Drosophila melanogaster: one gene and its partners. The protein of the gene in region 1 interacts with the protein of each later gene in a pairwise test. Each region holds a gene or a part of one and is shown on either strand. Other genes may lie near its edges. The genes, in order: Tsp42Eb, CG14252 and Naa20A.

What was found.
Region 2: the proteins of Tsp42Eb (region 1) and CG14252 interact in a two-hybrid assay, tested with the Drosophila melanogaster proteins (one large-scale study listed by BioGRID).
Region 3: the proteins of Tsp42Eb (region 1) and Naa20A interact in a two-hybrid assay, tested with the Drosophila melanogaster proteins (one large-scale study listed by BioGRID).

What each region holds. Positions count from the first base shown.
Region 1 is NT_033778.4:6,994,502-7,004,810, reverse strand, and holds Tsp42Eb (tetraspanin 42Eb), read right to left. Parts: upstream 5,964-10,309; 5' UTR 5,882-5,963; coding exon 5,630-5,881; intron 5,566-5,629; coding exon 5,401-5,565; intron 5,329-5,400; coding exon 5,077-5,328; 3' UTR 4,963-5,076; downstream 1-4,962. Other genes in the region: Tsp42Ea (tetraspanin 42Ea), read right to left, coding at 835-906, 1,169-1,363, 1,430-1,591, 1,655-1,846.
Region 2 is NT_033777.3:26,941,522-26,952,395, reverse strand, and holds CG14252 (uncharacterized protein), read right to left. Parts: upstream 6,863-10,874; 5' UTR 6,817-6,862; coding exon 6,816-6,816; intron 6,631-6,815; coding exon 6,432-6,630; intron 6,378-6,431; coding exon 6,241-6,377; intron 6,180-6,240; coding exon 6,126-6,179; intron 6,066-6,125; coding exon 5,750-6,065; intron 5,696-5,749; coding exon 5,185-5,695; 3' UTR 5,148-5,184; downstream 1-5,147. Other genes in the region: CG6330 (uncharacterized protein), read left to right, coding at 498-621, 977-1,324, 1,387-1,758, 1,828-1,971; Spag1 axonemal dynein assembly factor, read right to left, coding at 2,843-3,304, 3,358-3,485, 3,545-3,672, 3,729-4,147, 4,208-4,480; CG46339 (uncharacterized protein), read right to left, coding at 7,873-8,128, 8,196-8,339, 8,402-8,569, 8,634-8,824, 8,887-9,010, 9,073-10,503, 10,563-10,874.
Region 3 is NC_004354.4:19,618,376-19,629,290, forward strand, and holds Naa20A (N(alpha)-acetyltransferase 20 A), read right to left. Parts: upstream 4,700-10,915; 5' UTR 4,591-4,699; coding exon 4,538-4,590; intron 4,470-4,537; coding exon 4,354-4,469; intron 4,292-4,353; coding exon 4,162-4,291; intron 4,097-4,161; coding exon 3,960-4,096; intron 3,890-3,959; coding exon 3,828-3,889; coding exon of another isoform or gene 3,798-3,827; exon of another isoform or gene 3,393-3,797; intron 3,290-3,392; exon of another isoform or gene 3,276-3,289; coding exon 3,231-3,275; 3' UTR 3,076-3,230; downstream 1-3,075. Other genes in the region: Tim9b (translocase of inner membrane 9b), read right to left, coding at 30-50; CG14221 (uncharacterized protein), read right to left, coding at 554-748, 809-1,016, 1,100-1,550, 1,619-2,258, 2,337-2,408, 2,479-2,582, 2,653-2,743; MKP-4 (MAPK phosphatase 4), read left to right, coding at 4,835-4,979, 5,042-5,173, 5,240-5,339, 5,405-6,087, 6,153-6,256; CG14212 (uncharacterized protein), read left to right, coding at 7,363-8,151; e(y)3 (enhancer of yellow 3), read right to left, coding at 9,724-10,388, 10,528-10,716, 10,775-10,915.

The DNA of each region.
Region 1 (10,309 bases):
CCTTGCCTTATCACCAGTCAAGAGTACGCGGTGCACGCTGACTCACATATTACGTTGCTTGGAGTCCGTTTCCCCGTGAGTCCCCGATCTTATCGCCTAGATTTATGTACTATCAATCGAGCAATAAACCTTTTAGCGAGTGCACTCCCAGCCTAACTTCAACAAGATTTTGGCAACTATTGGGGTTTCCACGGCGGAATAATTTCCCATTGACATTCACAAAACGGCTATGTGCCCTTCATAGATAAAATAGCTCAATGGAGATAAGATTTCGTCTGAGCCCTAAAAAGCTAACTAACTAAATATAGTCTTCTGATAGGTTAGTTCTACGGAAATATGTCAATAGAGCCAATGATTGATAATGATCTGTAATCAAAGTGTACTTGTTGGTTTCGGCCAACTCTATTTATACTTATTACTTTGCAGATTAAAACGTTATCGCGAATGGCCGAAATCCTCCCGTGGCAATTTAGAAAAATAGGTGCTTTAGGGATTAAGTCGAATTGCAAACAATGTAAGCTTTCCCATTAAGACAAAGACTGAACTCTTTTCGTAAATTGTAAATAAATTTCTCCGTTTATTGCAATCTCCAGGAGTATAAGTTATTTTGTACAGTTAAACATATTAGCACATTCAGTGTAACTTTGAACAAACGATCTTACAAAAGTGATCGTTACGCATTCGTCATTGGATTTGCTGCATTTGCTGCTTACGCTTGAGATTATGCAAATTTGAATGGCCATCTGTATCAGGTAAATATTCGTAAAATTGGGCAACATAATTCGTACTTTCGGTTTCAATTAAAATTAGTGCAAGGCCTTAGTCCTTTGTCGATTAATATTCCGCACGGCGTCTATAGTTCCGAATGCTGTTCGCCAAGCAACAGGCGAAAACGAATCCCACAAACTGAAAGCAAACAGAGTATGGTATATTGGAAGATATACATGTAGGTGTAAATCTCATAACGCTTATGGTAAAATAACAAACTAAACTGCATTGCTACGAATTATGATTTACATTACTTAGTACTTTTTGGTTATCCCCAAGAAATCACAATGGAAGGTAGGTAACATGAACCCATCCATCATATTTTCGAAATTCACATGGGGAAGCACCTAGATTCGATGATCGATTTCGTTCGATTGCGTTACTCTGGACAATAACTTACTTCGATGGCGGCGATGACCAGACCGGCATACTTGATGATGTCGCTGTTCCTGTCCCAGAACTCAACGAAGGTGACCTTGCATCCCCGCCGGTAGACGGTCTCCCAGCGGCAGTTGTTGGTGTCGCTGCAGCAGGAGGGAGGGAACTTGCCCTGGTAGGCGTAGTCGGTGTAGCCACTGCGTCCGCAGCATTTCATCTGCGGGAGCGGCAGAAAGTCAGTTGAAGGCGGGTCACATGTCCTTGGAAGTCCCTAAATACTTACGCTGATCTGAATCGCGTCCATGTAGTCGGAACGACTGGTGCGATGGTTCCAGGCCTTCTCGACCACGTCGCCCATGATCTCCAGGTACTTGTCCTTCTGCACCCACATGTAGATCACCAAAGCCAGTTGGCCAATCATCAGGACGAACAGCAAGATCGAGTACTGCCACAAAGAATACATTTTGAATTGCAAGATGAATGGCACGATGCAGGATCAGTACTCTACCGTCATGGACATGCAGTAGGATTCCCGAATGGCTCCGCAGCAGCCGAACCAGGAAATCAGCAGGATGATGGTGCCCAGGATGATCATCGTTACGGGCACCTGCTGGGTTCGCAGGGCTTCCGCGAAGTCATCCATGTTACGGACTTTGCTGAACAGCAGAGCTCCGAATACGATCAGCAATATGCCGCATATCTGAGGAAGGGAAATGTTGAGTTTATCAATCCTGAGCCAACCAGGGTTGTCTAATCTAACTAAACTTGAATTCTCAAGCCCTCAGATTTTGACAGAAATTGGTCAAAAACAATCACTTCATATCCGTTTTATATTGGACTTACTAATCATGTAATAAATTAATACAGTTCTAAGTTATTTATGATTTAATTTGATCAAATGATTTGACAAGATTTGCGATACCAAATCGCCTGAAGAATATTCATCCATATAAATGCTGGCTGGGATATCATTAGCTTTTTTGTTTCATTAAAAAGCTTGTAGGCGTTAAAAGCTCATGCCTGTTGTTCGACAAATAATATGCACTGCGAGAAACTGGAACTACTTCCAGGGACATGCATTTCAATATTTGCGATATGGCGAAATCACCTGCTTTATTATTAAAACTACTTTCTATTATTGCCCAGTTCTTCGGCGATTTTCGTTTATAGAGTTTCAGATTGGCTATTTGCATGGCTATCACAAGCTTATCTCTTATCAATCCGATTCGCTTCGTTAATTAAGATTATGCATAAAAGCGCCTGGCCATCGACGATAACTATTAAAAACATATTTACTTTGGCTTTGATTGTATCAGTTGACGTAGTCATTAGATTAGATCCACCCCCAGCCAAACTATAGTTCATAAATTCGTAGGATTGCGCCAAACTGCAGCATGACTCAGCCGCCGAGCTCAGCGGTTCGTGGGATCAGAATAGTTAGCATCGCATCCGATCAGAAGAGAGCGACATTTCGACACTGGTCCACAATTATAATAATAACCAGTCCACCCACTCGCATTCGTCTGGCATTTCTAGATCGCCCTCCCTCGGAAAATTGAGTTCAAGTGTACCGCCAACGACCCCCGTGTTTCCATTCCATGATGTGCGTGTGTAGATGATATTTCGTTGTTTCCGAGTTTTGGCTCGTCGTCTCACAATGGGAGCAAGTTCACATTAAATTAAGTCAACTATTTTTGGGTGAGACCCCCTTCCCCCCCCCCCCCCCCCTCTTGAACCATTACACAACTTTCCACTGAAGTGGCGGCAGACTTTACACACAGACAAAATATTTGTATGTTTCCATGTTGGTTCTTAAGTTAATTGCAGCTACTTTAAATTATCAAAAAGGTTGGAGAACTGCGGATTGGAACTCTTGAACAAATCAAATGACCTATTTCAAGTAGATAGGTCATCCATCTCGTTTACCGATTTCCCATCAACAAAAAATGGTTTTGTTTTGTAAATTTTCTATATCCGTATACTGCATACGATTGAAGAATTAGCGCCGTGTGCTGATGTTTTTCCGCCCGTAGTGAATGACATCCATGTTTGCGTGACGCGAATAATGCGCTGGTACTCCGACGCAGTCAGATTTCCCACCAGCAGCAAGTCAGGGTCCCAGCCCCAAACTGGTTGGACGAAGTACAGTTCCACTCCCCGCGACATCGAAGCGGCTCAGATCGGACAGCATGATCGAGCCCAACACGATCAGTAGGATGCCAACGATCTGGAAGTATTCGGAGTATTACTAGAAGGCATCTCTGGTTGCCTAACAGTTTTATGGTCATAAGCATACCACATTATAATGAATGTTTTATGGACTTCTAATTATCCGGGAATATCTATGTACTGAAAACTTGTCCGCAAACTGGACTAAGATATGAGCTTTTAAAATAGCCTTCAGGATGTCGGTGACCAAGATTTACTTAAATTTCTTCATTTGATTCTTTAAGTTGACAAAGTGATTAACAAAGTGAATAATCAAGTCTTATACTTGCATACAAATTAATGAAATTCACAATCAGACGGATATGGCTAGTTTAAAAACGTAGCTGATAAAAAAAACAAACGTTAATCACCTTTATCTTGTTTTTGGCATAATTCTTAAGGTGAAAAATGTATCTTTTAGCTGCGTTAATACTGCGAGTAACTACACATTTATTTGGATAAATAATAAATCATTTGTAAATAATAGTTTGTTGTATTTCCTTAGTTTATTCTCTAAATGATCTTTTATTCACTCCAACTTAGCCTTGCTAAAATGTGAACTTGTGTGCATGTGTGCCCCCTTTGAAGCTCATTTTGGGCTCATTACTTATATTACAAAACACTGATAATGTCAATCAACTGATAAAATTCTGTATGTCCGTCCACACTTGCATTACAGATAGATATTATTATCTATGCCAGCACATTTATATGAATAATAGTGTTAAACCTTGTGACTCAAAGACAATCGAAAGGAAGCGACCGATGCGTAATTTATGGATTTTCAAATTTCATTTCACTTGTTTTAAATAATACATGTTCGATATTTGTTGCACAAATATTTATTGCATATGACTTGATTAATGAATGACAGAAGTCAGCTAGAAGGTCTTATATGCAAATAAATAAACATCTACAGTTTGATAAATAAATTAACATAATTAATGGACATTTTTTGGAAGTTCATTATAACACAAGTAATTGGAGAGTATGAAGTTATCCATAATTGGAACCTATTTGGGATCTGCACCCAGTAGTGTTTGGTCTATTGTTACACGTCTCATTACATTATTAATTCCTTTTACTTAGATACTCAACCGACAAGCACTTACCAAAAACACGATATTGACAATATATAAAATAAAGTTGACTATTCCCGATAGACAACCCATTTTGAAAGTATATAGTTTGCTCCTGTATTTAGTAGAATTAAATAAACACTATTGTTTTATCCAAAGGAGTTGTCGGTGTCTCTGATTTTATCGCGCACTCGCGTCGTTTACTGTCGTTCGATTGGACTGCTCCTCCAGATGGGCTACTGTTTTTAAATTGGCCAACAGACACGGGCGCTATCGGAGGAAAGATACGCAAGTGCCTGTTATCATAATCATGGCCGAAACGAAAAATAGATAATGGGCACTGGGCGGCGGGCGGAGATCGATAGCCATTGCCATATGGAGGTGATTCACCACTACTGAGGGCATTCGATCTCGGAAACGCGGCACTCGGCTAACAGGCCGATAAGGACATACTTTTTGGAAAAACATCAACCTGTCTTGATTAGATAGACGGCAGCCAGAGGTAGACAGCGAATAAGCAATAATATTTCATTGGGCTTAACCTATTCTGGTTTATTTACGGTGAGTGAGTGAGTGAGGAATTCGTGTGTTGGATTTATGCTATGAACTGGGCTACGTCTAAGGATTGTATCTGACTTCGGCTCTAGCGCTTCCTCATCGCGCTGGCCAGGCAGCACGACATGATGAAGATGCCCAGCTCGAAGAGGGCGATGATCAGACTGCTCCATCGAATCAGGTCCGTATTGGAGGCCCAGAAATCGACGAACTCCTGCCGGCAGCCAGGTCGCTGGCTGTAGATCTCCGCTTCGCACACCTTGGTGCGATCCTTGTAGCCGCAGCAGGAGCTGGGCACGGTTTCATACTGTTGGTATCCCGTGTTGCCACAGCAAGAGAACTGCAATGGAATAGATACGTAAATATCCGGAAAAAACTAATGACATCTGATGGTGAATTTCGATAAACTTACGGCCAACTGGAGGGCATCCATGGGGTATCCCTGGGCGGCATTGTTCTCATCCCACGCCTTGTCCACTGCCTTGCCCATGCTGGACAGGAACTTGTCGTTGGCCGCGAAGATCCAGATGGAGAGGGCCAGTTGCAGGCCGAACAGAATCAGCATGCAGATGGCGTACTGAAAGGAATGCCAAGTCATTTAGAATCCAATTTCGGTCAGTGGGTGATTTCCGAGTGCTTACGATGGTGGTGCAGCAGGCGTTCTCGCGAATGGTGCCGCAGCATCCGAAGAAGGCCACTACGAAGGTGACACTTCCGATGACGATAATGCAGATCGGGATGGTCTGGGTGTTAACGCCTCCGTCGAAGGCCGTAAAGTTGCCCATCGTGGAGAGCATGATGGAGCCCACCACAATGAGCAGGATGCCACCGGCCACGAACACCAGGTTGAGCAAGTACAGCAGGTACTTGAACATCGCGGATAGACAGTTCATGGTGCTGGGTTCTGTTCGGGTTTCTCGTTGGCTAGCTGGATAATCCGTTCGTTCGATGTGACGATGTTCGTCTAACTGAATGGGCCCTCGGACAGAACGCGGCTATTAAAGCTTACTCGGAGTCCTCATCTTATCGGCTGCGCTCTTATCTCGGCCATAAAATTCCGTATGTACTTGTGCTGGAAGCTCCGATGCCCATGTACTTGTACTTGGTGAATCGCTTTGCACCCACGAGATACCAGATCATTGTGGTGGTCCGAACCTGGGAAATTACATCCTTGGCGCAATGATTCATTCAACGAATGGTAGGTGCAAACTGCTGGTGGCGGAATTTTATCTAGCCCTCGTGCGATTCCATCTTGGGGGCGTTAGATCGTTCATAAGATGAATCATTCACACCCTCCACACCTTGCCTTATCACCAGTCAAGAGTACGCGGTGCACGCTGACTCACATATTACGTTGCTTGGAGTCCGTTTCCCCGTGAGTCCCCGATCTTATCGCCTAGATTTATGTACTATCAATCGAGCAATAAACCTTTTAGCGAGTGCACTCCCAGCCTAACTTCAACAAGATTTTGGCAACTATTGGGGTTTCCACGGCGGAATAATTTCCCATTGACATTCACAAAACGGCTATGTGCCCTTCATAGATAAAATAGCTCAATGGAGATAAGATTTCGTCTGAGCCCTAAAAAGCTAACTAACTAAATATAGTCTTCTGATAGGTTAGTTCTACGGAAATATGTCAATAGAGCCAATGATTGATAATGATCTGTAATCAAAGTGTACTTGTTGGTTTCGGCCAACTCTATTTATACTTATTACTTTGCAGATTAAAACGTTATCGCGAATGGCCGAAATCCTCCCGTGGCAATTTAGAAAAATAGGTGCTTTAGGGATTAAGTCGAATTGCAAACAATGTAAGCTTTCCCATTAAGACAAAGACTGAACTCTTTTCGTAAATTGTAAATAAATTTCTCCGTTTATTGCAATCTCCAGGAGTATAAGTTATTTTGTACAGTTAAACATATTAGCACATTCAGTGTAACTTTGAACAAACGATCTTACAAAAGTGATCGTTACGCATTCGTCATTGGATTTGCTGCATTTGCTGCTTACGCTTGAGATTATGCAAATTTGAATGGCCATCTGTATCAGGTAAATATTCGTAAAATTGGGCAACATAATTCGTACTTTCGGTTTCAATTAAAATTAGTGCAAGGCCTTAGTCCTTTGTCGATTAATATTCCGCACGGCGTCTATAGTTCCGAATGCTGTTCGCCAAGCAACAGGCGAAAACGAATCCCACAAACTGAAAGCAAACAGAGTATGGTATATTGGAAGAATATACATGTAGGTGTAAATCTCATAACGCTTATGGTAAAATAACAAACTAAACTGCATTGCTACGAATTATGATTTACATTACTTAGTACTTTTTGGTTATCCCCAAGAAATCACAATGGAAGGTAGGTAACATGAACCCATCCATCATATTTTCGAAATTCACATGGGGAAGCACCTAGATTCGATGATCGATTTCGTTCGATTGCGTTACTCTGGACAATAACTTACTTCGATGGCGGCGATGACCAGACCGGCATACTTGATGATGTCGCTGTTCCTGTCCCAGAACTCAACGAAGGTGACCTTGCATCCCCGCCGGTAGACGGTCTCCCAGCGGCAGTTGTTGGTGTCGCTGCAGCAGGAGGGAGGGAACTTGCCCTGGTAGGCGTAGTCGGTGTAGCCACTGCGTCCGCAGCATTTCATCTGCGGGAGCGGCAGAAAGTCAGTTGAAGGCGGGTCACATGTCCTTGGAAGTCCCTAAATACTTACGCTGATCTGAATCGCGTCCATGTAGTCGGAACGACTGGTGCGATGGTTCCAGGCCTTCTCGACCACGTCGCCCATGATCTCCAGGTACTTGTCCTTCTGCACCCACATGTAGATCACCAAAGCCAGTTGGCCAATCATCAGGACGAACAGCAAGATCGAGTACTGCCACAAAGAATACATTTTGAATTGCAAGATGAATGGCACGATGCAGGATCAGTACTCTACCGTCATGGACATGCAGTAGGATTCCCGAATGGCTCCGCAGCAGCCGAACCAGGAAATCAGCAGGATGATGGTGCCCAGGATGATCATCGTTACGGGCACCTGCTGGGTTCGCAGGGCTTCCGCGAAGTCATCCATGTTACGGACTTTGCTGAACAGCAGAGCTCCGAATACGATCAGCAATATGCCGCATATCTGAGGAAGGGAAATGTTGAGTTTATCAATCCTGAGCCAACCAGGGTTGTCTAATCTAACTAAACTTGAATTCTCAAGCCCTCAGATTTTGACAGAAATTGGTCAAAAACAATCACTTCATATCCGTTTTATATTGGACTTACTAATCATGTAATAAATTAATACAGTTCTAAGTTATTTATGATTTAATTTGATCAAATGATTTGACAAGATTTGCGATACCAAATCGCCTGAAGAATATTCATCCATATAAATGCTGGCTGGGATATCATTAGCTTTTTTGTTTCATTAAAAAGCTTGTAGGCGTTAAAAGCTCATGCCTGTTGTTCGACAAATAATATGCACTGCGAGAAACTGGAACTACTTCCAGGGACATGCATTTCAATATTTGCGATATGGCGAAATCACCTGCTTTATTATTAAAACTACTTTCTATTATTGCCCAGTTCTTCGGCGATTTTCGTTTATAGAGTTTCAGATTGGCTATTTGCATGGCTATCACAAGCTTATCTCTTATCAATCCGATTCGCTTCGTTAATTAAGATTATGCATAAAAGCGCCTGGCCATCGACGATAACTATTAAAAACATATTTACTTTGGCTTTGATTGTATCAGTTGACGTAGTCATTAGATTAGATCCACCCCCAGCCAAACTATAGTTCATAAATTCGTAGGATTGCGCCAAACTGCAGCATGACTCAGCCGCCGAGCTCAGCGGTTCGTGGGATCAGAATAGTTAGCATCGCATCCGATCAGAAGAGAGCGACATTTCGACACTGGTCCACAATTATAATAATAACCAGTCCACCCACTCGCATTCGTCTGGCATTTCTAGATCGCCCTCCCTCGGAAAATTGAGTTCAAGTGTACCGCCAACGACCCCCGTGTTTCCATTCCATGATGTGCGTGTGTAGATGATATTTCGTTGTTTCCGAGTTTTGGCTCGTCGTCTCACAATGGGAGCAAGTTCACATTAAATTAAGTCAACTATTTTTGGGTGAGACCCCCTTCCCCCCCCCCCCCCCCCTCTTGAACCATTACACAACTTTCCACTGAAGTGGCGGCAGACTTTACACACAGACAAAATATTTGTATGTTTCCATGTTGGTTCTTAAGTTAATTGCAGCTACTTTAAATTATCAAAAAGGTTGGAGAACTGCGGATTGGAACTCTTGAACAAATCAAATGACCTATTTCAAGTAGATAGGTCATCCATCTCGTTTACCGATTTCCCATCAACAAAAAATGGTTTTGTTTTGTAAATTTTCTATATCCGTATACTGCATACGATTGAAGAATTAGCGCCGTGTGCTGATGTTTTTCCGCCCGTAGTGAATGACATCCATGTTTGCGTGACGCGAATAATGCGCTGGTACTCCGACGCAGTCAGATTTCCCACCAGCAGCAAGTCAGGGTCCCAGCCCCAAACTGGTTGGACGAAGTACAGTTCCACCTGGCGGTGCAGTGACTTTGGGGCAGTGAGTTAGAAGTTGCAAAACCATATCGAAATGCCACCGTTGCTGGCGTTTCAATGATTGTTTGGTTGCCATTTGGAACCAGTTAACCTCGGACTGACTCCGACTAATGGGATGCATGTTTGTGGATGTGGGGCTCGGTTGTGGGGACCGAAACAACACAAACTGGTTTTGGGACTCCAAAGTAAACAAAAGTGTACGTAGTGTACACAAAATTATACAGAATTTTTCGGATACCGCTACGTCACAAACGTAGCCCAATTTTAATAACTGGTTTTGGAATACTGATGATGATCTCAAGCTCTGCCCCCACTTTGCACGTACAGTGCGTTTCGTAACCGGAAAGTGATAGTGCTGACCGGAAAAGAGACACCATAAATGCTATAATAGATCCTACTTTAAGGGTCCTTAATAAACATTAATTGAGATATGTTTAATTTCATGATATGTAAATATGAAAGCCGACCTAAAGAACACAAAAATACAAAAATGCATTTAACGAGAGTGCCTTCTGTGGCTTTAAAATGTACTCATGCTCACCACTTTTGTGGGCCTCGACTTTCTCAGCCTTTCAATACTGAAAACACCAATTTTGGGAAAACCAGTTTATTCCGCACGAAAGTTATGATCTCACTGCCAGCCTAAAAGGCTGAGAAGTCGATCTAAGCTTGGCCGCTCGAAATTATGTAATCTTAAAT
Region 2 (10,874 bases), on another chromosome or scaffold:
ATCGCAAGGGGGGTCTCTATAAATAAAGTCACTAATACACGAATCAATTCTGATCCAAATATTGATTAGAAATACGAAATTTGAATCTGTCATTTTGTGGCCATTAAATACTCGAATAGTGCTTACTCACGATTGTGTGACAAAATTGTGTGTATAAGTAATGTATATTTCATAAAAATTAGCTCATAACAATGTGTTTTTGCTAAGCATTACCTAAAAAATAAATAATTATTCCAGCGATGACGAATTTCTTCCTGCCCATCCCAACTGATTACACTTTTGGGGGGCTTGTTCGGCCACCGATTTTCTAGGAAACACTTAGATAAACTTATCTTTTATCAGAAAACGAGCATTTTTAAGTGTGATTTACTTCTGACAGCTGAAAGTAATTAACTCATTCATTTCTTGGCCTGAAGTGGGCGTTTATTTATGGCCCCCGCTGGCGGCGAATAGAATTTAATCCTCATTAATTCGTTTTGCATTCGCTTTAATTGCAGGTACTCCGATGGAACCGTCAAATTGCGCAACTCGAACATTGAGCTCATGGACCAGGATATCCTCTATCACCTGGCCTTGGGCAGCGAGAGCCACGACCTGCAGGAGATGTTTGGCGACGTTAAGGTGAGTGGTCTCTTGAATTATTCATAGTCTGAGGCGGTTAAAGACTAGACCCAGACCTAGACCTTGATTGTTATCAAATCAAGTGGGGCACAAGCGAAACGAGTTCATTAGCTGTTGCCAATTAAGCTAATTATATGCTTAGTCAGATTCATAAACTTAATAAATATATCAATGTGCTAATCTAGTACTGGTTCGATTTGCGATTTACAATTAAGGGTATGTTTTATATAAATAATTATATAGTCATAGATTGCAATACCAGCGGTATTAGTAATTTACAAATCTGAAACACAATGCCGGTTATTCCCCTTCTAAAAGCTCACTCAATTAATCCGTGTCTGTCTTTGACTTTCAGTTCGTTTGCATGGGCGGCACACCAAAGCGCATGGAGAATTTTGCCCATTTCATAATGAACGAGATTGGCTACAAGTTGCCAGCGGGCACCCAGCTGCAGGACATCAGCGCCTATTCGTATCGCTACTCCATGTACAAAGTGGGACCGGTGCTGTGCGTCAGCCATGGCATGGGTACGCCCTCGGTCAGCATCCTGATGCATGAGATGATCAAGCTGATGTACCACGCCAAGTGCAAGGATCCCGTCTTCATCAGGATAGGAACGTGCGGAGGAATTGGCGTCGACGGCGGCACCGTCATCATCACCGAAGATGCCCTCGATGGGCAGCTGAGGAACTCCCATGAGTTTGTAAGTCGTGGCTGAAATATCACCTCAAATGCGATAGATGACCCTAAACACTTGATTTGCAGACCATTCTCGGCAAGACCATCCATCGTCCTGCCAAGCTGGACAAAAAGCTGGCCCGTGAGCTAAAGTCCCTGGCCAGTCCCGATGATCCGTACGATACCATTATTGGCAAGACGCTGTGCACCAACGATTTCTACGAGGGCCAGGGTCGTTTGGACGGCGCATTCTGTGATTTCAGCGAGAACGAGAAGATGGCCTATCTGGAGAAGCTGCGCGAGAACGGCGTGGTCAACATCGAGATGGAGAGCACCATCTTTGCGGCCCTGACCCACCATGCCGGCATCAAGGCAGCGGTGGTGTGTGTCGCCCTGCTGAACCGCCTCAATGGGGATCAGGTCAACGCGCCCAAGGAGGTCATGAACGAGTGGCAAGCGGTGGGTGATCCCGACTAACTCCCCCTCTCAATGGAATGTAATTGAACATATGATTTTTCACCCAAACAGCGTCCGCAGATCCTCGTGTCGCGCTATATTCGCAAGGTCCTTACGCACAATGGACAGCTGAAGGCGCTATTCGGACACCAGGGATCCATCAAGTCACCCCGGCGCTTCAAGCTCGTCCAGCAGGAGTCTCAGGCCCACGAGTAAATGGGATCATGTGACCAGTTCCATCTCATTTCACCTTCTTACATTATATGTGCGCATCTCTCCAGTATACAATGATGTTTCAACATTCCCTAGTTTAGCTCTGATTAAGTTCCTAGCTTTATTTCTGTGTATATCGCCCACAACCTCATCGGATAATTTAAAACCGATCATATTGTACGTGCATATGTTCATATGTTACCACAATTTAATATATATATGTATATCAATAATATATAAAAATAGTATCACTGAGTGTGACGTTCAAAGGTTATCAGAAATAAACGCTTTTGAGATCACAAAACAAATAACGAATAATATAGAAGAATTATGAAATTGTTAATTGTTATGTTGCATATTTTAAATGGGGCTAATCTATTAAGCAAAGATTCAACAATACCAAACAAAACTAAATGCTACATTTCCATTTTATAAATTATTATATTATAATGTATTGAAATTCCTAAAGATTTGTTAAATGTACGTGTTGATTAGTGTTGCTACCGTACACTCGACTCTAAACCAAATCCAACAGCACTTAATCTTTCTCTGTCTAGTTATATCCAAATTAAATGAAAACAATACGATGAAGAACAAAATGCTGAAAATAACATCAATACAATTACGGATAGCACACGATAAAACCAAATATACAAGTTATATTGTAAAAAAACGAAATTTATGACAAATATTTCAACGGTATATTAAAAGAAATTGTAATTAAATTATACAAACCACTTAACGCGATTTCATTTTTTGGTGGCTAAAAGATCATACCAAAACAGTTATTTTTCCATTATTTATTTGCATTACATATGTATATATTTTTAAACAATCGTAAAAACATCACGCTGCAGACACTGTATGCAGTTCTCTAAATTTCCTGTATAAGAAGTTTATTGCTATTGTTAAGGTTGTCCTGTGGCAAACGCAGTAAGGTTTCCTTTGGTGTCATAGGAGGACTTTGTGGCTTCTTAGGTGCACCTCCCTTGCTGGCCTGCATCTTATTTCCCAAGGCTTCTGCGGCTGACACCAAGTTACTTTTCACCATGCGATTCGGCTTGACCAACTCGGCTAGATCGTAGTCTTTAATGGGTGGTGGCTTCTTTGCCGAGACAACTGGTTCGGGTTTCTTGACCACAGTTGGTTCACTTTTCTCAGCCTCCTTCTTGGGTTCGGAAGTCTTCAGTTGCGGAGGATCGATCTCCTCAATTATCAAACGTGTGGCAGAGGACGGAGCCACCTCACCCAGCATTGAAGTTAGCTTCTCGACGGCCTTCTTGGCAATGGCATTATCTGGCTCAAAGTCGAGGAGCTTTTTGTAAACATTTAGGGACTGAAACGGAAAGGTTTAGCCTTCAAAAAGATGAAAGTATTCAAAATTATTACCTCAAGATGTTTTCCTTCGGCATTGTGGGCCTCAGCCATTCGAAGGTGTGCCTTAATATTCATTGGATCGATCTGCAGACAGGCTTGGCAGTCCGATATGGCCGAAAAGTATTTCTTCAACTTGAGATCTGCGAATGAATCGAACAATAAATTGATAAAGAGTTTTATTATTAATATGATTACTTACGAGCGACAGCGCGATTATTGTAAGCGTGTACTGCATTCTCCGGATCGTATATTATTGAACAGTTGTACTCCTCAATGGCATTTTCATATTCCTTTGCCTTGAAGCTCTCATTGCCACGCAGTCGATGTCTTTAACAACAACAAAAATATATAAAACATATAATAAAGCATTAAGATATATCTACCTTTCAGCAAATTGCTCCTTCTCCAGCTGGCTTAGGTTCTTTAGCTGTGCTTGGAGGCGTTCATATAGAGAATCTCTTTCGCTCTGTAGCTTATCCGTGGTAACCGATTTACTGTGATTGGAAATGATTTTCTCTCTTTGCTCCTGGTCGCGTTCCTCGTTCAAATCCATGCGCAGTATCTCCTCATCGGGATCGTACTTATCCCATTTTCTGTAATCGGTGGATTTGATTCGAGCCTCCTTATTCTTGGTATTGGACGGAGATGTAGCCTTTGGCGCTGGCTTGGGTTTTTCAGTTTTACTTTCCTTCTCCAAATCGATTTTCGAAAGTTTACGCACAGATGGAAGATTCAAATTCTGCTTAACTTTCTTCAGCTCATTGAGAGCATTGTCCTTTGTTTTTATGGCGTCAGTCCAATCCTAAGGTATAAATACAGGTTAATCCATAAATATTTATTTGAAATGAAGTAGACAACCTACCAGAATGGGCTTTAGTTCGGTTTTGTCCAGGTCAGTGCTTTGCTTTATCTGTTCCTCATAGCGAAATAGCTTGCTATCCGGTTTCAGTGCCTTCAGTTTTTCCTCCGCACAGCGTTGCAAGTCCGGATAATGTCCTTCCTCGCCGGAGCGCAGGATTTGGACGATTTTCTCCATTTCGCGAGCATTTGTGCACTTTTCCACGTGGGCGAAGTCCAAATAGTGAATTGGTATGTTGTATCTTTCCAAAAGAGATTTCTTTTTTTCCTTTTCCATTTTTCGGCTTTACAATATCAAATAAATAAAGGAGCAGCTCGATGTTTTAATTCAATATTGTGTATATCGATCAAACAAACTTTTACCGGCTTGCTTGGCAACAAACATCTGTGCTCATTCGATACCCTTAAAATGCCAATGTAAGTTTAAGGTTTAGCTTGTTTTAAAAATGTTCTAAATACTTAACTGAACGTATTGAACCAAATTAAAACACTCTATTTTGAATCAACTATCGTTTCCTTATCTTCAACCCCCTTCTTGACACACCAAAGAACCAAAGATAAGTGTGCCCGCAGCACAAAAGTGTCATTTAGCAGCGTGGCTCGTATCAAGGTTCTATGGTGTAATGGTTAGCACTCTGGACTTTGAATCCAGCGATCCGAGTTCAAATCTCGGTAGAACCTGCTCGAATTAATTTTTATTTTTTTTTTTCATATAAAGATTTGATGCTTAGAAACTTTTCTTTAAAAATAAATATCACGGATAAATGTTTATTTAAAATTTTAGTGTCCAAAATAGGATAATTGTTTCGTGTTATCTGGCGGCAGTAAATGTTTTGTTTTGCGCCAGGCTGCCAACGCGGTTCTATGGTGTAATGGTTAGCACTCTGGACTTTGAATCCAGCGATCCGAGTTCAAATCTCGGTAGAACCTTTGATTTTTTTTTTAATTTCAAGTACGAAAAAAGATACGTTTAATTGGTCACTATGCTTTTTTATTTACTTCATTCTGTTTCTTCTGCAAGACACATATGATATTGTATATTTGGCGTTTTGCTTCGATTAGCAAATCATCATTCAAGACGGCTAGCTCTTTTGTTACAAATTGACTAAATTCTTCAGCAGCCTTATGCTTTTCAATGGAGGGAGATTCGAACGGCTTTGTCGATTCATCTTGGTCCAACACTTCAATAGACACCTTGCAGTGGCTAGGTTCAGTATCAGACCAAAAACAGTCTTCACTGCACGCGGGAGAGCTCGGCTGAGTTTTATTGTCAAACTGATTGACAACGGAATCGCTAGAGCTCGGTGGATGGCTGATAGGATCGGGATCCGGTTTCGGCTCCAATTCTTTGAACCAGGACGCATCGTCTTCGTAGCTGCTACTGTGCTCGGAAAATACATCCAGCTTGGTGAAATCAATAGGAGTCTGGATCTTTAAAATCTTCGAATAATGAATCCACTCGGACTTATCTCCCACCGAATCTCGCTGTGCTCTGCAATTATTGGTAATGTATTATAACAGCATAATAAGCTTATAAAGTTCTTACCTAAACGTGCGCATAAGTGATTCAATTTTGGATTTGATATCGCCCGGTAATATGCCAACACCACGCAGCTGCAGTTCATTATGCATATCCTTGTAGACATCCATTTTTTTCCTATCACTCTGTATGTGACTGGCGAACTTTTCCCACACATCAACGAATATGCATTCCTCCGCCGGCTGCCAAACTCTTCGCGCCTTTACTCTGACATTGCTGGTTTTGCCGAATCTTTTCCTAACTCTTTTGGCGTTGGGCATTTCCTCATCGTCAAAATAGTTCACAGCACTTTCATCCACGAAGACGGTTTTGAATGGTGTCTCTATAAAGAAATGAAAACCGCTTAGAATGTATACAATTTAAACTTTTATGAATTTCGAACCATATTTGATACGTTGTGCGGGATTGTTCATATAAACAGAAGAGCGCGTTTTATCTGAAATTTCGAAGTCTTTGATTAGATACATTTTCCTTGTTGGAATTCAATGGACTCTTACGAGGCGTCTTTGATGGCTGCGTATAGTCCTTCCATTCCGAATCCTTCCCCTCGTTGGCAGATGCTCTCACCACCAAAGCCATCGCATCGAAGTGCCTCCAGGTGATAGCTTGGTCTTCCTGGTCGGAGTGTAACAAACTGAAATCCCAGAGATTATCAAACCGATTCTTCATCTGAAAGTTGTGTACTGACTTGAAATACTTCCGCTTCAGGGATTCCATTTTCGACTTTATGCCTTGAACATTGATCTCTACGCCAACATCTCGAAAATAGGGCTCCAGTTCCGCATAGGTTTCTGTCAGTTTCTTGCCAGGCTCAAACAGATGCAAGTTGTGGATCCAGATGTCGATGAATCTGTCCTCTTCGGAAGCGTCCCATTTCCTTCTGCTCACTAGATGAAATTGCATAAAGTTTGAGTTTGAACTAGGGATTTCAAAACAAAGCCTAGTATCTCGGGTGTCAGGAAAACACCAAAGTATTCGACTGATTGATACCACAAAAGTCAAAGATGAGGTCTGCTATTTATTAGGTAACCTAATTTGTCTTATTTTGTTGCTAATTTCGTTATATACTTACTTTTTCAAATATACAAGCTGTGTTAATATTTGTTTACAAAAATTTAGTTGATAGTAAGACCGTTTTATGAAACCCAGAAAATTCTTGAAAACCAATGTTTAGGGTTGCCATCAAGTGCAATTTATTCATATATTTATAAAGTGTGACCATTCTGTTGAAAATACTGAATTTCAGGGCCGCATAAGCAGTTGATTTAATTTCTTCTTAACCGCCAAATTCAAAACTCCCAAAATAAATCAAAGTTTATAAGCAGTAATTAAAGAAGAGTTTTGAATAAAATTACGTAAATACATAGTTTATTTAAGTGTTTAGTGTAAGCTTTAAAACTTATTTACATGGTTGTGCAGCAGCAATACAAGTATTTTTGTGTTGGGCTTTACAAAATACATAATAGTTACACGCGTACATGAATAAATATATTACTTGTGTGTTGTGTGTTGTGTACTACTCTTGCTTTAGCAAACAATTTAAACCATGTACTAAGGACACTCAGTTTCATTATCTTCCCATGCTCAGTTTCCTTCCAGGACCATTAAGTCCCTTGATTGGATCGACTACAAAATAGATTTTTGGTTCACTTAGTGCTAGATTGATTCACTTAGGATCTAAAGGTGTGCGAACAACACAAAGTACTTGACAATCATAAGTATAGATATAGATATAGATAATACAGGTTTTAAACTTTAGATATTTCGTGGCAGATATTGTGTTGTGGACTTAAACTGTTGCCTGAAGTGATGAATGGGAGTTATTCGAACTATGCATTTTCCGATTGCTTTCTATTTTTTAGTAGGAACGTTGCAGAGCAATGCCGCAAAGCAAAAGAAGCGAGACTTACAAATAAATAAATATACAATTGCAAAAAGTAAATCGTTTACCTAAATTATGCTGGCTAACTTACACGTTTATATCACTTTTCGCAAATAATTCGTTTGATTAAATTAATTTGAGGCCTTTGCACGAATACAAATAATGGTAATAGTTACAATAACTAAATCGCATTTTTTGGTTGAAATCAATTTGAGTTCTCCCCCATTTCCAACTTCCATGTGTTCTCCTAAAAGATATTGATCTGGAACTCGCTGACGATCCCCTCAAGGAAGTTCTTCAGGCTGTGGTACGAGTGGCTGCGCCAATAGATGTTGTTGTTCACCTGCTCCAGCGCCAACTCGATGGCCGATTCCACGGCATGGAGTCCCAGTTTGCGGCAGGTAGCGGCCAAGTCCAGAAGCTGGTGCTTATGGTAGTCCTTGTTCATGTAGATGGTCAGCGATTTGATCATCTCGGACAGCGTGGAGAAGCCATCGCCATAGCTATGGTGCAATTGAACATAACTAAATTAATATATACATTCAACCTATCACACAAAGTATCACTTACTATTCGACAATCTCCTTTATGTTGCCCTGCAGAAAATCAAAGGCTATCTCATGACCAATGGCATTGGAGGCCACAGCACGGAAGGCCAAGGCGCCATCCTGTTTTAGTATGCCCGATGTTGGATTGATGGTCATGTTGAGGTACCTACAAAGTTGTTGCACATCAGTCTTTGGTCTTTGATGGATCAAACTGTTGTAGTTACTCACTTGGACAGCAGCCAGGGTTTGGTGGTGCAGCCCAGTGAGGTCAGTATCTCCTCCTTCTCGGAAGCACTCGTGGTTGTCTTGTACTGTTTGTAGGCGAAATACCATTCCGGTGACGAGCCCTCCGCCAAGGAGGTGCAGTAGATCACAGACTTGAGGTTTGGCTTAATGCTGTTGATTTATGATTGCATCGTTTTTAATAAGTTTTTGTATTGTATTTCAGTTACAAGCTTACGGATTGTTTTTGGGATCACGCATCCACTCGCGGAACTTCATCTGCGCCTTTTGGGTGCAGCGATCGTAGTTGAACTTGCAGGCAAAGTAGGCCACCAAGGCGCGGTGCTTCAGTTGCAAGTGGGACTCATTGTCCGGCTCATGCAGGCCATAATGATCAAAGGCGGGACGTACGATGAATTTCATGAAGGCCTGGTTAAACAAAATATATTATAAAACACTCTAAAATTTACTAGTTTTACTGGATTCCCTACCCTGAAAGTCTCATAGGCAGGCTCCCTCTTCAGGTTGTAGATCAGATAGTTGAGACCAGGTTTGGCGGCAATCCACAGCAGCTCATCATCCACAGCATCGAACAGCTCCATGAGGAAGGTCAATCTAAAGGCAAACGTATTTTTATGTTAATAATTTCATTTACTTGTCTTACTTCTCAAACTTACGGTATGTCGTAGGTAAGGTATTCCGCTTGCGACAGATGCAGTGCATCATCCAGCAACTGGGCCCTTGTGATCCTGGGCAATGTGCTAAAGTTCTTCTTGAGCGCCAGCCAAGAGGTCATATCGTAGTTGACACGATAGTAACCCTGCCGGTTGAGATTCAGATAGATCACGTTATCGCTGTTGCTGCTATGCGCGAAGACATTGCCCACGATGAGCTCCTCTTCGTCCTCGCTTCTCATCCAGTGGGTGGGTATGTTGTCGCCCTTGCGCAACTCATCCGTCTCGAAGGTGATGGGTATAAACCAGGTGCTCTGATCCGCAGTGTTCTTGGAGGGCAGCAGATAGCGTTCCTGGCGCAGCACGAGATCAGCACCACGGCGCTCCACATTGACTACCGGATAACCGGGCTGGGTGATCCACGAGTCCATGATCTGCTTGACACTCAGATCCTTGGGCAGAGTACCCTGTTCGTGACCATGGCGCGTGAGCATGGCCCACAGATCATCTCTGTCCATGTTTCCATAGGCGAACTTCTTTAGAAGATCACGAGTGGCCGACCGGAAGGCCACATCACCCACGATCGAATTGAGCATGCGCAGCAGAATGGTGCCCTTTGAGTAGCTGATGGGATCGAAAATCCGCCTGACATCGTTGGTGGAGCGCACATCAAAGGATATGGCATGCGAGGTGTTGTCCGCATCGTGCTCCATCGACTCCTTGAACTCCAGCATGGTCAGAGTGTCCATGCTCTGGAACTCCGGATGGGCGTGCTCCAGTGCCTTGTAGCTCATGTAGCAGGCGAAGCCTTCCTTCAGCCAGAGATCATCCCACCACTTCGGGGTCACTAGATTGCCGAACCACTGATGGGCCAACTCGTGTGCAATGATTCCGGCCACCACCTGCATATGTTCCGATGAGGACGCCAGCTGCAGATCCTCGGGCACCAGTAGCGCCGAATCGCGGAACGTTATGAGTCCCCAGTTTTCCATGGCAGCGAATCCAAAGTCCGGCACGGACACCAAATCAATTTTGGGCAGCTTATTCTTGATACCGAAGAAGTCCTCGTAGTAGGGCAAGAATTTTCGCACCATCTTGTACGCATAGTGAGTCATACCCACAAACTGGGGTCGCGTCCAGATCTCCACTCGCGGCGTCAACCCACTGTCCTGACTGGCAAGCCGCGAATCCACCATGTTGGACACGATGAAAGCCACCAGGTAAGTGGGCATCTTCGGCGTGGTCTCGAAATCGTCTCTTATGAAACCACGGCGGAAGCGACGGCTGCCCGACTTGGGCATGTTGGAAAGGGCCATCTTGAACTGCATGGGTCTGACGATGCTGATCGAGAAGTTGGCTTTCATGTCCGGACGATCGAAGCAGGGAAAGGCGCGACGGGCATCGACGGGCGAGAACTGAGTGCTTATCATCCATCTAAAAGTAAGGGGAACTTTAGAAGGGGAACTTTCGTGGACATGTGGTTCTGGACTTACTCTTCATTCTTGGTGTCCGGATTGGTGTAGCTGGTCTTGTAGATGCCCTGCAGTGTATCCGTTACCTGGCTGACGAAATCCAGACTTAGCAGCACTCTCAGCTGGGTCTCCACCGCCAAAGTCTTGCTCAAATTGATCACGAACGTGGCATTATCCTCCCCGTAGTCGCTGTCGAAATCCAAGTCTTGCTCCTCGCTGGCATTGCTGGCGCCATCTGCAAGGGCACGGATCACCCGGACATTGGAGATGCTCACGTTGTGCACGTCGAGCACGATGGGCTCCCAGCTGGTCACCTTGGACACATCCCGTTCG
Region 3 (10,915 bases), on another chromosome or scaffold:
GCGGGAGTTCAGCACACTCTTTTACTTACGTTGCGCAGATTGGAATCCATCGGTCGATAGCAAGTTGCGTTTAGCTAGTGTTTTAATACAACAATTATACAATTTAATTTTACAAACCGTCACGTTCGTGACGAGCGGAACAGCTGATTAGTCTGTGCTTGGTAAAACGATAGTCGATAGCACGGCAAGCAGACTAATCAGTGTGCGTTATCGAGTTTAAAATACAGATACCCAAATTTTTCGCATTGTGTTCGTTTTTACTTTTTATTTGAGAGCAACTAAAGTGTTCATCTCCCCAGGGGGGCAGAAAGTAAAATAGGACGCGAATTGGTTCATAATATACGATACCGCAATCCCTAATAATTGATTTTAAAATTATAATTGATTCTGATAAAAGCTTACGTTTAAATTGAAAAATTTACACGGTATATGCAATATTCATTAATTTGCTGTATAATTTTTAAAAGATTGCCGTCAAGGGTAATTTAATATTATAGTATTATAATCATAATATTTCGGAATGGAGCAGTACTTTTGAATGGAACTAGGGCATCTATGTGGCCTGCGAAGCGTCGGGATTGGCGCCATCCGCTGTGGCAGGACGACTCTCGCAGCTGTCCTCGCCACTGCTCGTGGTGGAGGCGCCTTCCTCCGGCGAGGTCTTCACCGCTTCTTCCGCCTCCATCTGCGCATCCGCCGGTCCGGCGTCCGCCTTGCCGCTCTCCTCGGGATCGCCGCCCTTTTTATTCTGCAACGGAATCAACGGAAGTGAGCTGGAATGTTCTCCCCAAATCAGCGACGGCCTTACCTTCTTGCGCTTCTTGGGCTTCTCCGTCTTGACGGCGTGCAGTTCCTCCTCCTCCTGCAGCGCAGACTTGTAGTTGGCGGGAAAGAACTGTGTGGCCTCCTGGTGGCCCACCACCGAGTTGGCGCTAACGTAGCTGGGACCGTAGGCCATCAGCGTGGGAATGGTCGGACTGTTCACCTTGTTCACCTTCAGTACAATCTTGTCGGTACTGCAAGGTACAGCACAAGATCAGACAGATATTACATATGTAACTCATCAGCCGTTGGCCAGTGGATCGTTGGCAGCACTTACGGAACATACGGCTTGGCATTGTACTTCTCCACGGAGTTTGCTATAAATTGCGCCGTCAGCGGATTGTCACCGTTAAAGAAGCCATAGAGCGGAATGTCCTCGCGACACGTCTCGAGCAGAATAGCGAGATCCTTCTTCTTGTAGGCGTCGAAGATCATCACGATGTGCGGTGGCTCCGGCACGGGATCCGGCGGAAGGAAGGTCGTGGTCTGGGCACGGAAGTACGTGTAGATTAGCGCTGCATGGGTGCGCTGGTCACTGGGCACCCAAATCGGCGGTATCCGAATAGTCTTGGTTCTCTTAGCTGCAACCGGAGCAGTTTTGGCCTCTGGTGCCGCACCTGCCTCCGCCTCTGTCTCCGTCTCTTCCTCAGCCTCCGCTACATTTTCGCTCCTAATCTCGGCCAGATGCACTGCGTCCGGCTGCACCTGACTATTCTCCGTTGATGGCTCTAACCAGAGAGTAAATAGAGTAAAACTCGTGAATAGATCAAGTTAGCAAGGATGACAGGCGTCTCACCTGGATCAGATATCTCCACGGTCACCTCCAGCGGCACAATCATGGGCGGCACGGTGATCTCCTCCTCGTTGAACTCGTCCGGCGGCTTAATGGTCTCCTTGGTCAGCTCGTGGGCATATTGGCGGAGCACGGTCGGTGGCGTGCCGAGCACCTCGTCCACCTTCCAGAAGCACATCAGCAGCTCCTTGTCGTAGAGCTGCTCGATAACCTCCGGTGACAGTGGATTCTCCGCAGCAAAGTTGACGGTGGCGATGTCGCTAGGCAGAATGGTAAATACCTTGCGGTCCTTGCACTGAATCTTGAGCGGATCAGCCGGCTCCGAGAGTTTCTTGAACATGTCGCGATTAACCTGTGGCCCGAAGACCGTGATCCCGATGTCCGGCAGGTTGGCCATGATGCAGTCGGTGACGCTGTGAAGGTACTCCAGCCGCTTCCGACGGCTCTCCGCCAGCTCGATCTCCTCGGCCAGGCGCAGCGCCTTGTTGCGCACCTCCAGCTGCTCCAGCTCGATCGGCTGGAGCTCGGTGATCTCGTAGCTCAGGTGCGTTTCCTTGGCCATCGTCGACTGCAGCATTCGGGTGATCATGGCCACCAGCTTGGGCACATCCGTGCCGAACATGATATTGATGGCCTTGCCGCTCTAATGGTCCATAAACATAAACATAGAGGAAAGACAATACATATTCACCTGGCATTATGTTCCCATGGGATCACTCACCGTGACAAACATCCACGTGGGCTCGCTCTTCTTGTTGAATCGCTTCAGATAGGATATGGAGCCCGCCTTGCACTGGCATATATTGGAAAAGATGGGGATGTTAGTGCGCTACGCCTCGGTGCTTCCGACTGTGTGATCTTACGATGGCCAACTGCAGGTTGTCGCCTCCTAGCTCGAGCTTGATCTTCCGCAGGCTACCCACCATGCCGAGGCAGGGACCGCACCATTCGGAGTATATATCGAGCACTGAAGCACTCAGGGATTAGAGCGAGATTACTGGGTGGACTAATGGCTAACCATCGCATCGAGAACGTACCCAGCAATCCGGATCGCTGCAGGAACTTCTCGAACTCCTCATCCGAGGCGAGGTCGGCCTGAAGCTGCTGGACTCCTCCCTTCTTCGCCATTTTTTGCGCACTGAATGGGCCATCAATCAGATACCGAACTAAACACCCAACCAGCTATTGATCAAACAGTGGTTGCCAGGACTTAAAAGGTCACTCAGTATTTTGGCACAATCAATCAATCAACAATCCCAGTTCCCAAATGGGGTAACAAATGCGCAGGAGCTGCTGAGTCGAGCTAGGAAGCTACCCATATAATACAGGGTATTTATTATAAACCCGAAAACTTTTCTATCCTTCTGCTAGCACTAAAAAAAAGGACATCACCACAAGGACATTATTATAAGGTGTGTTGAAAGTCAGCTTTCCTCCAATCAATCAATCAAATACAGATTGAACTTTATATGCCAGGGGGTTTATTTTCTTTTTATTCTCAAAATGGTTTTCTATGCAGCAGCACATTAGTAAATGGGAATCGGTCGATAAAGCACATGGCGATGGCGATGGCGATGGCTGTGGCTATGCCCACATCCGCCGCGAATCGTTCCACTTAGTGATCGTGTCGCATTTGTCTGCGCAGCTCGCGCATTGTGATCTGCAAAAAAAAAACTGGATATGGTCAGAGGATCGTGTGCGGGCTAGATGGGTGGTCATAGCGTTGGCGTTAGATACTGGTTGTCATTTACGATGATGAAGTAATCAAGTTGCTTACGTTATTTACCTTCAGAACTGTGGAACAATCTTTGTGTTTGTGGTTATTTACGCATCGGCTTACGAAATCTTTAAATAATTTCAAAGTCAATAGAATTATCGAGAATTTGTGCTGAATTTGGTAACGGAGCGGTCATGTAACTTAATTACAGGCTTAGTTTCGGTTGGGAAATAATGCACGCAAATACTGGCGCCGGGGGATTGGTTCGCAAGCGGGATGGGAATCCGGTCATAATCGAATCGCATGTTATCACCGGGCAGATCACGGGATTATGGGTTATTTACATTGCTAAATTAACTAGAATTCAATGGGCTGCGAAGTGATGCGCTCGCGCCCATTTCAAATGGTGGATCGGGATTAGTTAGACATAAATGCGTTTTCGGGCGCTACTGGGTTGATATCGTATCAATTCATATCTATATGTTCCAGTCGTACAGGCTGCGTGTACGGTATGACCGACTTTTTGTTGACGTCCCTGGATAAGGCCTTTCTCATGTCTGCAAAGTGGGTAAAGCATCGATTGTTAGGCGCCTCTTAGAAGTCAATGCAAATTCTGTGCGCTCTCACCGTACGCATCCTCGTCCTGGTCGCCGGAGTAGTACTCAAGTATGGTGCGGTATATGATGTAGCCAAGGTTCGTGTACATGTTTATTGCCACCTGGTTGCTCTTCCTCACAAAAAGATCCACAAAGTATGCTCGCTTTCTGGGGGCGAGAAAAAGTAGTCGTTTAGTCTGTATTGATATCCAACGAATTGGGGCTGGAATTACTTCTCCGAAATGTCCTCCAGGAAACTCATGAGCAGCGCAGCCAGACCAAGGCGCCGGTAGTCGGGCGAGACGGTCAGCGCAGTCACGTGTCCGTGCCAGTTGTCCAGGTGTCCCTCCACCTTGCCCATGACTAGAGAATGTAGAGCACACTTGATAGGGGAACTCGTGCACACAGTGAAATGCAGTACTTACTGTAGCCCATTATTTGTCCGCTGGGCGACTCCGCAAGCTGAAAGTACTCCGGCCACTTGGCCAGGTACTGGGTGTAGAAGGACAGCCCGTAGGTCTCCGTAAGTGGGTCAAAGTTTCTGGCGGAGCACACGGCGGTATTGGTATTAGCCTCGGATATGCGCATGTGGATATCCACTGTACTCACACATTGTTGAACTTAAAGAGGTCGTCGCAGGTGAAGGGTCGCAACGTGGTCATCTTATCACTTAATCTCGGCTAATCCGATCCTTTTTATTGCTCCTATAAAATTGCTATACTCGCCGGCAATAGAGATGCGCCGCGGTCGATGGCAAGTTATCGATAGCCTGGAAGCGAGCTTTCCCACAAATCGGTTACCGCGCAATGCAGCCGCGGTCACACTACTAGCACTTCCATTTCCACGCTAGGTCCTGTCCTCGCTCTTCTTCTTCCTCTGCCTCCAGCTGGTATCTGTTGCCTGGCCATGGAACAGTCTCAGTCTCAACGGCAGGCGTGGCCTTCGTCCTCCGCGGGGGGTGGCAAGGCCCAGGACTCCGGGGTGCTGACGCGCGAGGACTTCGACGGCGGACCGGTCAGCATCGACGAGGTGGACACAGGCCTGTTTCTAGGTAAGCATATAGCTCTAATCCTTGTGATCGATGCATTTCTCAACCCTTCCTTACACCACCAGGCAACCTGACCGCGGCGACGCACATGGAGACGCTGCGCTCCTTCAAGATCACCCACATCCTCACGCTGGATTCGGTCCCGCTGCCGCAGCACATTCTGGAGGCCAGCTTTCTGACCACCAAATATATACAGAGTAAGCACACAGATCGGTAGCTTCGTGAATGTGCAACAACTTCACTGGCGTTAATCCCTGTTTCAGTTGCCGACATGCCGCGCGAAGATATTCTGCAGCATCTGGAGGGCTGCGTTGACTTTATCAGCTCGGCCCTGGCCCAGCAGGGCAATGTCCTTGTGCACTGGTGAGCATCTTACCTAGGCTGACCGGCCCACGATTTGGCCACTGACTCTTTGTGCCTTCCAACAGCTACTTCGGCGTCAGTCGCAGCTCATCCACTGTGATCGCTTACATGATGAAGCGACACAATCTGGACTTCCTGCCCGCCTACGAGCTGGTCAAGGCCAAACGGCGCTTCGTCCAGCCAAACGCTGGCTTTGTCAGCCAACTAAAGCTCTTCCGGCGCATGGGCTGCAAGATTGACCCCAACTGCCAGCGCTACAAGATCCATCGCCTGCGCCTGGCTGGCGAGCAGATGCGCAAGGCCAAGATCCTGCCGCAAAGCTTCCACAGCGTGGTCCGTCCGGATCCAGATATAACGCGCGAGAACCCGGAGCCCATAGTGTTCCGCTGTCGTCGTTGCCGCCGCGTCCTCGCCTCCAAGTCGCATGTACTGGAGCACAAGCCGCGTGACAGGCCGCCGCAGGAGGTGGTACCCAAGGAGAAAGAAGAAGTCGCTGCAGCTAAGCTGCCGGCTCAGTCACATGATCAGGCCGAAAATCATCATGGTGCTCGCATGCTGGAGCAGCTGTCCGAGCGCATCCGCCAGTCATCACTCGGTTCACCCGGCCACGAAAGCACGCCAAACTATTGCCGCAGCATACTGTTTGTGGAGCCCATCGCCTGGATGCACCGCATCATGCTGAACACCCAGGGCCGCCTGTACTGTCCCAAGTGCGAGCAGAAATTGGGAAACTTTAGCTGGATCAACGGTTGGCTATGCTGCTCCACCAGCCGATAATCCCGCCCCCCACTCATTCCTCCTAATTTATTGCAGCCTGCAAGTGTCCGTGCGGGGAGACGATGACGCCTGCATTTTATCTGATACCTTCCAAGGTGGAGCTCTCGAAGGCCGTGCAGAACGTGCAGACCACGGTTTAGGTGCAGCGTGCTGGAAATAGAGCGAGATGGCATCATCAGAGACGGGACAATTGGACTCCCTTGTCGGCTGGCAAAGAACGGCAATCGCCCACCTAAACAAAAAGCAATGGAGGCTTGGATTGATTGATCAGTGCTTATCAGTGCTGGCCAACATTGATGTCCTACATATATACATATATGGGCATTAAGTTATGTTTCTATGGGTCATTGGAGAAGTTGGGCTTCGGTTACGCTGTTGAAACATAAGTTAATTGGTCCCATTGCTGAATAGCTCCTCCACCAAGCTGAGATTTTTGAAACGCAAGCAGTTAGCTTAGTTAGTTCCCTCTTGGGAATCCGATCTCGTATCGGATATAAACTGATTGCCAGGTTTACAATATCAAAACTTCCGCGCGAAGCAAACGTAATTTAATCACAAACTAACTTCGGATTCCATTTGGTCAGTCAGTAAATATTTACTCAATTCTTAAGAATAAGAAATAATCACAGAGTATCTCATCCGATCGCAACATTGATATGTGAATCCCCAAAAGCTGAAAGAGATACGTTGATTGTTTCCAGTAGTGGTATATGGTATATTGTTTCATTTTATATAGTTAGCCAATGAATTCGCCCATGTAGCTAAATTATACACTTACTTATGTACGTGCGATATAGTGCACCCATATTTGTTGGAAGCCATACAAGTATGTATATTGATCTTTGCTGTTCCATATGCATTTGCATAGCTTTTTGCATGTTACCAACACACACACACACACACAAACTATGAATGTATTTTAGATATTTAAACCTTTTTGGAAAATATTTTATGCAACGGAAAACGAAACAACATTTTTCAATGACAATATCTAAAACTTATGCGATATACATACATATAATACACACATTATATTATAATTACAACATTGTCGGCCAAACGGACACGTCGGTCGCATGGTCGATGGAACGAAGATCCCCCCCAGCTTCCATGGGACTTCGTGCACCTTCGGATATTGGCGCTACCTTATCGATATTGATGTGCTTTGTTCACCCATATCTACTGTACTGTTTAAACGAGTGTGTGCATTGATATTAAAGTCAAATTGTTTGTTTTCCACACCAAAATGTTTGCAATTTCGAGAAGCCTCCGGTTGAGCCGTTGCCTTTCGCCCTTCGGACGCGGTCTGAGCGCATCCAGTTCGCCTGGACCGCGCACCCTAGTCGCCATCGACTTCGACAGGACCATCGTTGAGCAGGACTCCTATTTGGCGGTGAGCCAACTACTGCCGACCAGTCAGCGCAAGGAGCTGCAGGACCAGATCCCCAAGTGCGGCTGGCTGAGCTTCATAAGCCAAGTGTTGCAGCGCCTGCATGGCGAGCACAAGGTGAACTCCGCGTCGGTGGGCAAGCGTGTGCGCAGTCTCACAGCCGTGCCTGGAATGCTGCGGGTGATGCGCCAATTAGCCAGGATCCCTGAGCTCGAACTGTGCATCGTCAGCGACGCCAACTCCTTCTTCATCGGCGAGTGGCTGCAGGCGTACGCCATTGAGTGCCTCTTTGCCGGCGGCGTGTTCACCAATCCCGCATGCGTCCAAGCGAGCGGCGAACTGCTGGTGCTGCCCTACCAAGAGCAGACTGACTGCGATCTCTGCCCCTCCAACATGTGCAAGGGCTCCGTGATGGACGAGCTGACGTGCAGCGGGCGATACGAGCGCTTGATCTATGTGGGCGATAGTTGCAACGATCTGTGCGCCATTAAGCGGCTGCGGCAAAAGGATGTCGCCTGCATCCGGCGCGGATTCGAGCTGCACGGTAAGATGACCGCCCATGGCCAGGAACTGGCCTGCTCCGTGCTCACATGGCGCGACGGCCACGAGCTGGAGGAGCTCCTGATGCCCAAAATCGTGGCGTAGAGTTTGTGGTAAGGCCAGGTTATTAATGCTGCTGTTTTATTCGACTTAAAAATAAATCTTTCAGTATGTATACATAAGAATAATTCCACTTAATATGAAGGACTTAAGATTTACTTTTCGCATAAAGTGGATTACCCAGCTCTCTCCAGCCGAGGTTTGCAGCTGGGCCCGTCTGTGGATCCACTCTGTCTTAAGTAGATCGAAAACTTAGAGCTACCTATCCTGCGGCGGTATTAGAACTGTTGCCTAACAATATTTCACACATGGTTCTTCCACACTTCCACTTCCTCCTACCTAATCCTCGCTAGCCACATCTGTATCTGTTCTTGTGCTTTAATCTTATAGCTACAGCTAGTATATCTATATATATATATATATATATATATATGTATATATAAATATATATGTTTGTTTGTGTGTGTGTGTGGTGTGTGGGTCCGTTTGTTGTTGGGTTATGTGTTAGCATAAATTACATTTATAATACATTCTTAGCCATACGATTGCAGAGCGGCACCCGGCTCCCCGATCCTCGATCCACCGCCGAGCCAAGTCCCTACCCCGCTTACGAATCTACCGAATCTAAACTAAACGAATCGAAAAAAAAAAGGACAAGCAGCTACCGCACATGAAGACACTACTTAGGCTGTGCTTAACTACTTACATGGGCTAGAGGGCGTGGTTCTTATAAATACACACATATACATACATGTTCAAAAATTCGGCGCATAAGACGTTTAAAATCAAATATAATGTCTATAGAAAATACAGATGCACAGTGCGCACGGTGGCGGCTTAGACTTAGACTTGGCTGAGAAATAGAAATAGACACTATTTCGATTCAAAAGCAAACGGTAACACGAAACAGCTAGCCCTACCTACAGACGTGGACAAGACCCAACCCAGCGGGTGGACCAAGCCTCCAAGGACACGGGAATACAAACGAACAAAGCCGCACGGCCAGGACAGCTGGACAGCTGGACAGACAGCACTCTTTCCTCGGTTAAAAACGCAAGTGTACAAATCTGTTTTTGCGTGGGCGATTGCGCGCAATTGAACTAAAATGCGTCAAATGAATTCACTAGAAACAAATGAAGTTGTGACTTAGTGCTAGGCTATTCAACTTAGGCGTTAAAAAAGTCTTAAGCATAACGTGGTCTACTTGGTGTTCGGGGTGCGTGTCATGTGTGTGTGTGTGTTTGTGTGTGTTTATGCGGTCGTTTGGTTGTTAACATTAGCAAAGTTAAGTAACATAACTATAATAGGAATATTTATATGTATATATGTATAAAACACAATCAATACAATGCAGTACTGACAAATAAAGAATAATCGTAGTAAAAAAAAAACCTTAAATACTCTCTCCACTCTTAATCCATTCTCTTCCCCTTGTCGCATTCATTAATACTATGCATCTGTGTGTGGTTTTTTTTTTCTTATTTTCTTTTTTTGGGATGGCGGCTGTGCTCTGTGGTTACGACCACTTTGGAGGCGGCTTGGTAAAAGGGGCGGCGCGTCCGGCGCTTACTATAAGTCCGTTAGAGTACGCTTGGCACAATAACGTATGACCCCCACTCAGGCAACAACGGGCGGCGGAGCTATGCCTATTGGAGTGGCAGCGGGTGCTCCTGCGGCCGCCGTAGCCGTTCCCGTTGCAGTGACATTCGCCGCGTCCTCGGTGACTCCGTTCCCGCTGAAGTTGCTGCTGCTGCTGCTGCTGCACTGCATCGTTGTAATATTGACAGCATTACCCGCCTGCCGTCTGCCTATCGTTCCCGCAATATTTGTGGTCACCGTCGTCGCTTCAAGAACGGGCGGCAGCGATGCCACGGGCACAGCTGCCTTTGGACTCAGTGCCGCCGTTGGCGAAAGGGCGCGTCCTCCGTTGGTTGTCAGGCCGGGACTGGGCATCGGACTGTCATCCGTTTGCGCGGAAGTGGCCTCCAAGACAGGAGTAACTGCTGCCGCACCGGCCGCACCCGCCGCCGACTGCCGCTTGGCGGGCTTGTTTCGCGCACATGGTACGCAGAACATGGCGGCGTGCTCCCGGATCTTCGTCACATGATCGATGCGGTACTCGTGCACCCATTTCAAGCGCTTATTGCGCGCTGCCTTTGAGCGATCCCCGTTGGCCGACGGTCCTCCGGACGCCTGGGACAGAGCGGCCACCTGGGGCAGACCCTCCGGCTTGGTGGCCCCGCATCGCATGCAGAAACAGCAGCGCTCACAGCTCCAGCGCCCTGTAAGTTTTGTAAGAGGGATGTTTGTTAAGTAATCTAGTCTGTATATTTCAAATCATTCAATCGAACAATTTATGTATGTTATCCATGAGCAACTAACTCTCCAAATGGCTTTATAGACAAGCCACGAAGTACTTACCATCTGGGACTGTCCTGAGGCCCAAGCAGTAGATGTGGTAGCCTCGGTCGCACTGCTCGCAATAGAGCATCTTTCCTGGACGTTGGCTGCTACGGCACTTGATGCAGCATTTGCACCCGGCGCACTGCCAATTGTAGTTCCTCACGCGACCCACCATGCGCGGTGGCATATCAACGCAGCTGGGATGGACTGTGGGATGGCACTGATTTTAGGACGGAAGCGGAGCAAAGTATGGGGGACTACTTACCGCGCTTTCGGCATGTGTAACAGCGGATGAAAGCCTCCGGCATGTCCCTAGCATTGCGATGCTGACTGCGCAGACAGACGCCGCAGGTGGACAGCCTGACCGACGATGAGCACTCGTTCCCATCCTCGTCCTCGCTGCCTG